2 linked regions of the Ovis aries genome follow. The protein of the gene in region 1 interacts with the protein of each later gene in a pairwise test. Links are inferred from orthologs where the notes say so. Each region holds a gene or a part of one and is shown in the gene's direction. Other genes may lie near its edges.

Evidence for each region.
Region 2: the proteins of FLII (region 1) and LRRFIP1 interact in binary tests that used the Homo sapiens proteins (3 or more experiments, as listed by UniProt). The link is inferred for Ovis aries from reciprocal best matches to the Homo sapiens genes FLII and LRRFIP1.

Annotation. Positions count from the first base shown.
Region 1 is NC_056064.1:34,133,740-34,138,101, forward strand, and holds the start of FLII (protein flightless-1 homolog), read left to right. Parts: upstream 1-1,554; 5' UTR 1,555-1,582; coding exon 1,583-1,645; intron 1,646-1,851; exon of another isoform or gene 1,852-1,956; intron 1,957-3,155; coding exon 3,156-3,266; intron 3,267-3,616; coding exon of another isoform or gene 3,617-3,654; coding exon 3,655-3,726; intron 3,727-4,362. UniProt on the Homo sapiens protein: Is a regulator of actin polymerization, required for proper myofibril organization and regulation of the length of sarcomeric thin filaments. It also plays a role in the assembly of cardiomyocyte cell adhesion complexes.
Region 2 is NC_056054.1:3,570,475-3,575,035, reverse strand, and holds the start of LRRFIP1 (leucine-rich repeat flightless-interacting protein 1), read left to right. Parts: upstream 1-1,626; 5' UTR 1,627-1,698; coding exon 1,699-1,794; intron 1,795-4,561.

The DNA of each region.
Region 1 (4,362 bases):
CTCTAAGACTCGGGACAACAGTGGGTGGGGAGGGGTCTCAGCTGCTGAGAGCCCAGGCCACAGCAGGTGAGCTGAGGGCCTGAGTGTGCCAGATACTCTTAGCTTGTCTGTAAGATGGAGCAGGTGCCACGAGAAACCATTAGACATGCAGAACCCAGAAGTACAGATGGCTGGGACCTCAGGCATCTTTGCCAGGCCCTGCAGGCTGAGCCCCAGCTCTCAGGCCCTGAGCACTGAGGGGGGTGTGTGACCAAGGGACAAGCCCAAGGGACCAGTCAGATGGCCAGGCAGAACTGTCACCCTGAGGATGCCTGAACAGATGACGCTGAGCTCAGAGCCAACTCAGCCCCAATGACTTCTGGCTGCCCTGCTCCCAGAACCGGGTGCCGGAGCCCGGTTGCCAAGTGGGGCCTGCAGCCCCGCACCCATCCCCCTTTCCCAAGCTAAAAATAGGAAAGACAGCGGAGGGGGTTGACCCAGCATGGCCCGGCGGCGGCTTCCTTCATCAGGACTGCCAACCGCCTCCAAACTGTAAAGCGCTCAAAGCCCCTGCCTGTCTGACCTGGGGCCCGCAGACCCTAACCAGGGAAGGGGAGAGGGAAAGGCCACGCCTCCCCTAGCCTCCTCCAAGCCCCGGCCGCGAGGACACCGAGGCCCGGGGAACGCCAGGATGGGCCCAAGAAGCGACCAGAACTCGGCTCGAGCCGGTTCTCTCCCGGCCGGAACCGCGCGGCCGATAGAGGCCACGCCCCGTGCCCCGGCCGTACCTGCGTCGCGGCTTCGGCGCCCCAGCCAGGGGACTCAGGGGGCCGCTCGGGCCGCGCCCCGGGGCCGCCTGGGAATGGAACGTGCAGGACCCGGGAGTCGAACGCCAAGGCCTGGGGCGGGCACGGGCCCCAGGCTCGCAGACGGACAGGCCCCGACTCCAATCAGAGCGCTCAAGGCCAGTGCCCACGTGCCGCCCTGAGGCGGCCTCGGCCAATGGCGGCCGAGCGCCCCTCGGGGCGTGGCTCCTCGGCAAGCTCCGCCTTAAAGGCGCAGGGCCACGCTCCAGGACTCGGCAGGTGGGAACGTGAGCTCCTTCCTGGCAAAGGAAGCATCCGGTGGGGCTCCTGGTCACTGTAGTCTGCGGCCGCCTCTCCCGTGAAGGGTATACTGGTCCTGTCACTTACTGGGACCGCTATGTGCCGGCCCAGGGAGGCCTCCCTCGAGGGGCAAGCGGGCACGTAACCGCGCACCCGGGCTGGCCTCCGACCCAGGACGCATAAGAGTGTGGGCACTGGCCCCGGAGCGTCTCCCGGAGGCTCGTGGCTCCGGACGAGGACCCGGGCGTCCTACTGCCACTGCCGCCCGAACCACCCAGGTCCCCGGCGTTGACCAGCTCAGGAACAGCCGGGGGCCGAGAAGGCCCTTTAGGGCACCGGGACACAGCGCTCCTCGAGGCCCCGCGCCCCAGGGCTGGCCCCGAGCGGCCCCGGGCTGAGAGGCGGGGCCGACGCGCTCCCCGCCCCGCCGGCTCCGCGGTCCCCGCCCCGAGCGCCGGGCCCCGCCCGCGGTCCTCTCCCCTCAGCCCAGCGCCGCCATGGAGGGCACCGGGGTGCTGCCGTTCGTGCGCGGCGTGGACCTCAGCGGCAACGACTTCAAGGTGAGCCTCTGGGCGACGGCCGGGACCCCCAGCCCGCCCCTCCGCTTCCTGCGCGCCCGGGACCGCGGACGGGCTTGCCCGGACCCCGCCCCGGCCCAACGTCCCAGGCCTCCGCCCGGCGCCCGCGAAGACAGCCCAGGCCGGGCGGGGCGGGCGGGCGCGCGTAGGGTCCCGGAGCTGCGCAGGGGCGCGCGGGGTCTGCTCACCGGCTGGGTCCTGGCGCCTGGCCCCAGCAGGCCGGCCGGGGGTCCCGGTCGGAGCTCGAGCTCGCGCCTCCCCAGCCCTCCCCGCCCCTGTGAGGTCACAGCCCAAGCCGGGCCCTGACTCATGGTTACGCCGCCGGCTCTGCGCTACCCGCACCCGCCACCCCCATCCTGTGTGGTCTTAGGCAAGTCACTTCCCCTCTCGGAGCCTCGTCTTCTCGTCTGGTGGAGAGGCTTACCTTGAAACCCCTGGAGGCGGGGATTAGTTGTGGAGGACGTGTTGGGCAGGTGGGCGAGGCCCTGGGTGCCATTTGTCTGAGCAGCTTCCGAACTGGCGGACCAGGGCGGCTGGGAACACCAGCCCAGCCTCGGGGCGGGACAGTGGTTCTTGAGAACTGAGAGTGAGGCCGGAGGGCTGGTGACCAGAGAGGAGGCCCTGAGAGATGGCCTGGTTCCAGGAGGGTCCTCAGGGTGGATGAGTGGGCTGACCCTGGCTGGCGTCAGTGGAGCATCAGCCTGGGTCTGCAGGGTCCAGTGGTCCAGGCAGTGGCTGGGGTCAGGGCAGAGGAGACAGGCCCTTTCTTCCTGTATTTACCCACACTTGCCACCGTGCACACTCCTCTGCCTCCATCCCCACCGTCCTCACCTGGAGTCCCCAAGTGTCCTCTTCAGTCTAGGAGAGTGAGTCACCAGCAGGGAATGTGGCCGTAGGGAGAAGGGGCACTAGCCCAGAGCACTGAAGGCATTAACCTCCCCAGGTTTCTGGCCACGGGGCTGGGGTCCTGAGGTGGGCATTTGAGTCTGGGGGACGAATGGGTGAGTGAACTAATGAATAAGCTATGCCTGTGTGGGAAAGGGTGGGGAGCTGGGGCCTCATGCAGGGGGTGGGTGGCAGGGCACAGGTGGGGCCTTGGCAGAGGCACAAAGTGCAGTTCAACAAATTGCACAGGCAGGGCCTGGATGCAAGGCAAAAACATTGAGTTGATCCGACCTCACAGCTGACTCTGGGGTGGCATCTAGAATAAGCCTTCCTGGGCCAAGAAGCCAGCAGGAGAGGCGGGGCTTAGGTCAGCAGCCATCCTAATCACCAGTGGGTTCTCAGGACGCTTTTGTCATCAGGGGGCTTTCATCAGCCCTATTCTACGGGTGAGAAAACTGAGACAGAGTGGCCAAGTGATGTGTCTGGGGTCACACACACAACTAGAAATGACTATTGCCCCCAAAGGCTCCCACAGACAGTGGGGGCCACAAGGTGGCAGAGCAAGGGTACCATGTCCCAGACCAGCCTCACTGTGACGTACCCGCAGGGTGGCTACTTCCCTGAGAACGTCAAGGCCATGACCAGCCTGCGATGGCTGAAGCTAAACCGCACCGGCCTTTGCTACCTGCCAGAGGAGTTGGCCTCCCTGCAGAAGCTGGTAAGAAGCTTTGGACAGGAAGGGGAGGGTCCAGGTGGATGGGGCTAGCCAGGTGGACAGAGCCTGTGCAGGACATTGCCTGTCACAAGCAGAACTGGTGGAGAGAGGATGAGCACCCTGTCCTGGGAGGTATGCAAGAAGACTAGGTGTGTGAAAGAAGAAAGGTGCAAGAGTGGACTGGACCTGGGTGGCCTAGGGTGCCTGGGTAGGGCAAGGCTGTGGTAGCAGATAGGGGCTCTGTGGGAAGATCCCTGGGTGGGGCAAGGCCCTGGTGGTGGATGGGGGCTCTGTGGGAGGGTCCTTGGACAGGGGAAGGCTGTGGTGCCAGTGGAGGCTCTGTGGACGCCCAGCCCACCCTGCTGAGCCTCTACACCCTGTGCCGGCCCAGGAACACCTGTCCGTGAGCCACAACAACCTAACCACGCTGCATGGGGAGCTGTCCAGCCTACCATCGCTGCGGGTGAGTGCTGCCCAAGACTGCAGAAGTCAAGGTGGGGACTGGGGGCAAGGCCAACCCCTCTGTCCACCCTGGTGTCAGGGGTTTGTGGGGAGAGAGCATGCAGTAATGACCTGAGTTGAGAAACACGTAGGAGAAAAGGTGAAAAAACCTAAGTCTGATCCATTTTGAACTGCTGTGATAGCTGATCCTGGCTGAGCAGCACTCCAGCTATTTCTCAAGGGTCTTTCATGTGATCCCAACCTCCACCAAGTTCACAGAGAGGACACTGACCAAGGGGGCAGGTCACTTGCCTGTGGTTTATCCCCAGTGATAAAGCTGGGGCAGGGCAGGGCAGGGGAGGTGGTCTGGATGGGTCATTCCCCCTGCTGTTCTCCATGGAACCTCCCATCCCAGATGTTCAGGCCATTCCAGTGGTCGTTCCCATTTAAGGTTGGAGCCCTGAGATGCGAAGGGCACACCTCTGGAGTCGGGTTAAAGCTGAGCTCTGCACTTTCCGAGATGGCCCTTCAGTGACCACCGTGAAGTGGCAAAGTGTCACCACACAGACATTGGGCAGAGAGGGAGCCGCAGTGGTGGCTCCTGTTTCTCCTTCTGTCAGTTGTGGCCATGGTGCCTTCCCCTGGTCTGTTCTGCCCC
Region 2 (4,561 bases), on another chromosome or scaffold:
AAGAGGAGAGTGAAAAAGTTGGCTTAAAGCTCAACATTCAGAAAACTAAGATCATGGCATCCGGTCCATCACTTCATGGCAAATAGACAGGGAAACTGTGACAAAATTTATTTTGGGGGGCTCCAAAATCCATGCAAATGGTGACTGCAGCCATGAAATTAAAAGACTCTTACTCCTTGGAAGAAAAGTTAGGACCAACCTAGACAGCACAATAAAAAGCAGAGACATTACTTTGCCGACAAAAGTCCATCTAGTCAAGCTATGGTTTTTCCAGTAGTCATGTATGGATGTGAGAGCTGGACTATAAAGAAAGCTGAGTGCCGAAAAATAGATGCTTTTGAACTGTGGTGTTGGAGAAGATTCTTGAGGGTCCCTTGGACTGCAAGGAGATCCAACCAATCCATCCTAAAGAAAATCAGTCCTGAATATTCACTGGAGAACTGATGCTGAAGCTGAAACTCCAATGCAAAGAACTGACTCATTGGAAAAGACCCTGATGCTGGGAAAGATTGAAGGCAGGAGAAGGGGATGACAGAGGAGATGGTTGGGTGGCATCACCAACTCAATGGACATGAGTCTGAGTAAACTCCAGTGGTTGGCAATGGACAGGAAGGCCTTGTGTGCTGCAGTCCATGGGGTCGCAAGGAGTCAGACATGACTGAGTGACTGAACTGAACTGAGACCTGACTGCATCTGTGAGGTCAGACCTCATCTCACCTGGGGTGCAGGTTTGAACCAGAACCCTACACCCACCCTTTAGTACGAACCCTTTTCTGCAACCCAATCACTTCGAGTCCTCCCCTGTCCTCGCTGGGGTCCAGACTCAAGGGGTAGCGCCTGCGCTGGGGAGGTCAGCCCAGGATTGCTAGGGAAGTCCACCCTCCAGGGCTCCCCACCGGGCCAACCGGAAACCCTGGGGGCTCCAGGCATCTCCGGCTCCGCCTCCTTTGTCTGAATTCTCTGCCGTGGCTTGTTCCCAGTCCGCACCAAGGACCCGAGCCCCCATCACCCCCGCCCCCTCTGGCGCCCACAAGCTCCCCACCCCGAGCCATCCCAGGCCTCCTGCCATTTTCCTGTTCACTGTCCCGTCGTCCCCACGCCCCCATCTCGGCCTCCCACTGGAATCCCCAGCCCTCTTAGTCTCAGTGTCCCTGCACCTCCGCCTTGCTTTCACTCCCCCAGTCCCCTTGCCCCACGCATCCTCATGCCGCTGCCCTGACTCCCAGCCTTCCCAAACTTCCCGCATCTCCACGCGCACGGTCCCCAGGCGTCCCCCGCGCCCCCAGCCCCCAGCGCCCAGATCCCTGGCCCCTGGAGTCCCAGCGCATCTGGCTCCCGGGTCCCTCTCCGGCGCATCCCCGCAGCCCGGGTCCCGTGCCCCTCTCCCCGGGGATCCCCAGACTCCAGCCCCCCGCGCCCGGGTCCCCATCTGGCGCGCCCCGGCCCCCGCGTCCCCCCACCCCCACCCCGCTTCAGGCTCCCCAGCCCCTGCCCCCCGCGTCCCCGCAGTCCCGCAGCCCCGGCCCCCGCGTCCCCCGCCCCGGGCGTCCGCAGCCCCTGTCCCCGCGTCCCCGCGTCCCCGGCCCGCGCCCGCTGACGCCATGACGCCGGCGGAGGGCGGGGCGCAGCGGGGCCGGGCGGCCGGAGGGGCGCGGGCGGCGGAGCCGGGGTCCCGCGGCGCAGCGGGCGGCGCGGCCGATGGACATGGGCACGCAGGGCTCGGGGCGCAAGCGGCTCCCCAACCGGGAGCGGCTGACGGCGGAGGACGACGCGCTGAACCAGATCGCGCGCGAGGTGAGCGCGGGGCGCGGGCGCAGCGGGGCGCGGGCGCCGGGCTCCCCCGCGGCTGTCGGGCGTCCGTCCGCCGGCTCGGCGGGCGGGGCGCGGGCCGGGCCGGCACCTCGGCGGGCCGGGCGCGGGTCCTCCTTCGCGGGGACGGGCAGGCGACGCCGAGCCCTCCCCCCAGGCCCCCGGCCCGCCCGGCCGCCGCGCCCTCGCCGAGCGGGACTGGGGGGCCGCCCCCCTGCGCACCGTGGCCTCGGGCCGGCCTGGTGGGGGGCGAGCGCCCGACTAGGTTGTGCGCCGCATCGTGGGGGTGACGCAGGCCCGACCCCCGGAGGCCTGCGGACAGTCCCTGGAGGCCACATGGCCCTGGCGAAATGACCCGGCTCCTGTGTGTGACCCGCTGTCGCCTCGATTGTCACACAGGGCGCCTCTGGGGCGCGAACCGGGGTCTCCCTGGATCTCGTTTCTGGACCGAGGCTTAGAGCGGGCCCAGGCACGCTGAGAGGTTCTCATCAAAGTTTCCAGGGCAGAGTTTATTATAACGATTGATGATGAACTTGAAGTGTGCAAATTAACGGAGCCCCGCTAGGGTGACTTTTACAAACGCTTTTTCCTCCCACAAGAATTCAACCTTTGGGCTAAACAAACCGCAGGGTAAAGATGCCAGGGAGACGGGGGCAGCAGGTTCCCTGGGAAGGGGTGAGATTCCTGGGGCCTACAGGGGACAGAGCTTGGCTTGTCATGTCACAGGACACCTTTGTACGCCTTCTGGATTGCCTAGCCAGTGGGCTCACTGTAGACAGGGCCCCCTCCCCATCCACTCTCTTCCAAGTGTTGGAGTGTGATGGAGAGGCTGTCTACATGTCATTATCATCACGTGGAAAAACCTCCAGGCGGTGTAGACGGTGGTGTCTGGTTGCCTCACTCAGCTATTTATGGAGGCCTGCTCTAGTACCACTTCTTAGATGGCTGGCTTTTATGGACTCGTGGCTGTCGCTCAGTATTTGTTGAATATTGAATGAATAAAAGCATTTATTTTTCTCCATGTGGGAAGAAACTGGGCTTTCCAGGAAAACCCCTATTCATCTCTTAAAACCTACGGTAGATTTGTGTCCCGTGTGGGACCTCCCCCATCAGCCCAGGCTAATGTCTCCCTGCCTGCACTTGGGTTCCTCTAGCTTTTGCTCCCTACACCTGCCGTGCTGGTCACGTGGCCTCAGCCATATCTGTTCACCTATCCGACCCCCATGGAAGGCGGCCACCAAGCAGGCACCGTCTTACTCATTTCACATCCCCAGGGATCAACACAGAGCCGGGCGCATAGTGAGTGCTGCTAAGTCTCTGTTATATCGCCTAAAAAACAGAAGGGGTACGAGGCACTTACAGTACATGTGGCTAAATATAGGTGCTTGCTAAATGTAGCAGCTTGAACATAATCCCCACCCCTGTGAAGACGGTCATGTAAGTAAGTGTTTAAACATAAAACCAAACAGGTGTTCTCCGAGAGGCCTGAGGTGACACGATCCGTGGGCCTTGTCTTTCCAGCAGTGGTTGCGGACAGAGGAAGGAGATTGAGGGTCCCCAAGTCCCCCTCGCGTGTGCTGGGTTTTATTAAAACAGACTGAAAGGAAAGGCCGAGGGATGCTCCTGGCAGGAGAGCCTTGAGGTGCAGAGTAACCGGGAACCCACTGGCCTGCCTCCCAGCCTGGGGACACAGTTGGCAGCGACAAATTCAGACACAGGCGTCAGACCCAGGACTGGAGCTACACACAACTCCTCTGTGCTGTCTGTGACAGCAGGCTGTGCTATCCTAGTCAGCCCCTTCCCGGTCTCTGTTTTTCTCATCTTTAAAATGAGGAGAAGACCTCCCCTGAGGCTGTCAGGAGTAATGAAAGTGAGCAGCAGACGTCAAGTGAGTCACTGGCTAGATGTAAGGACTACAGGCGTGCGCATCGTCCCAATAACCCCGGCCATGTGGCTGCTCTGAGTGCTGAGTGGCAGCTATCTGTCATGTTGGAAGGAGCCAGTGCAAATACATTTTACTGCAAAATGAATTCTGTCTCCCAGCTGTGAAAATTAGAATCACTATTCAAATGGCAAATATCTATTCACCATGGAGTTCTAGAGAGTTCTTATAAAAATCAACAAAATTATCTTAAAGTTTCATATGATATGAATACTTTCTCATTTGCTAATTGACTCAGCAGATACATGCTGCTCTTTCTGAAGCCCTGTCCTAGGGAGACTGGGATTCAGGGATGGACTTAAAGAGTATCTGGGGTCTGACTTAGAGCATGACAATAAAAGAAGGCAGGAAGAGATCTGAGATTAGAAGGATATTGGGCCCTGGAGGTTTGGAAATGAGAGAGTTAGCAATTCATCGATGAGACTAAGAATAGCAATCAGAGGCGGCTCCCTGGAGGAAGTGGCATTTTGAGTTATTCTTGAAGAAACCCTGACCTGGACTGGCCTCCACGAGGGGAAATGTTCTGGCTGGAGGACAGACTCTCTGGGCAGCGTCCCCAGGGCGGTGGCCCCTGGTCTCCACAGCGTCTCTGCAGCCGGCTCTGCTGGGCACCTCTGCAGGTGGCCTCGTCCTCAGGCTGTCTTGCTTTGGCAGACACTGCCCCCCTGAACCCACATGCCCCGTCTCTTCTGGTGGCTCTGTCCTGAGAGCTAGAAGCATCTTCCCTGACAAATCTTGCAAGTCTCCCCCGCCGCTCCTGAGCCAAGCTCTCTGACCAGGATAGTGGACTCCGTGGCATGGGGGCAGGGC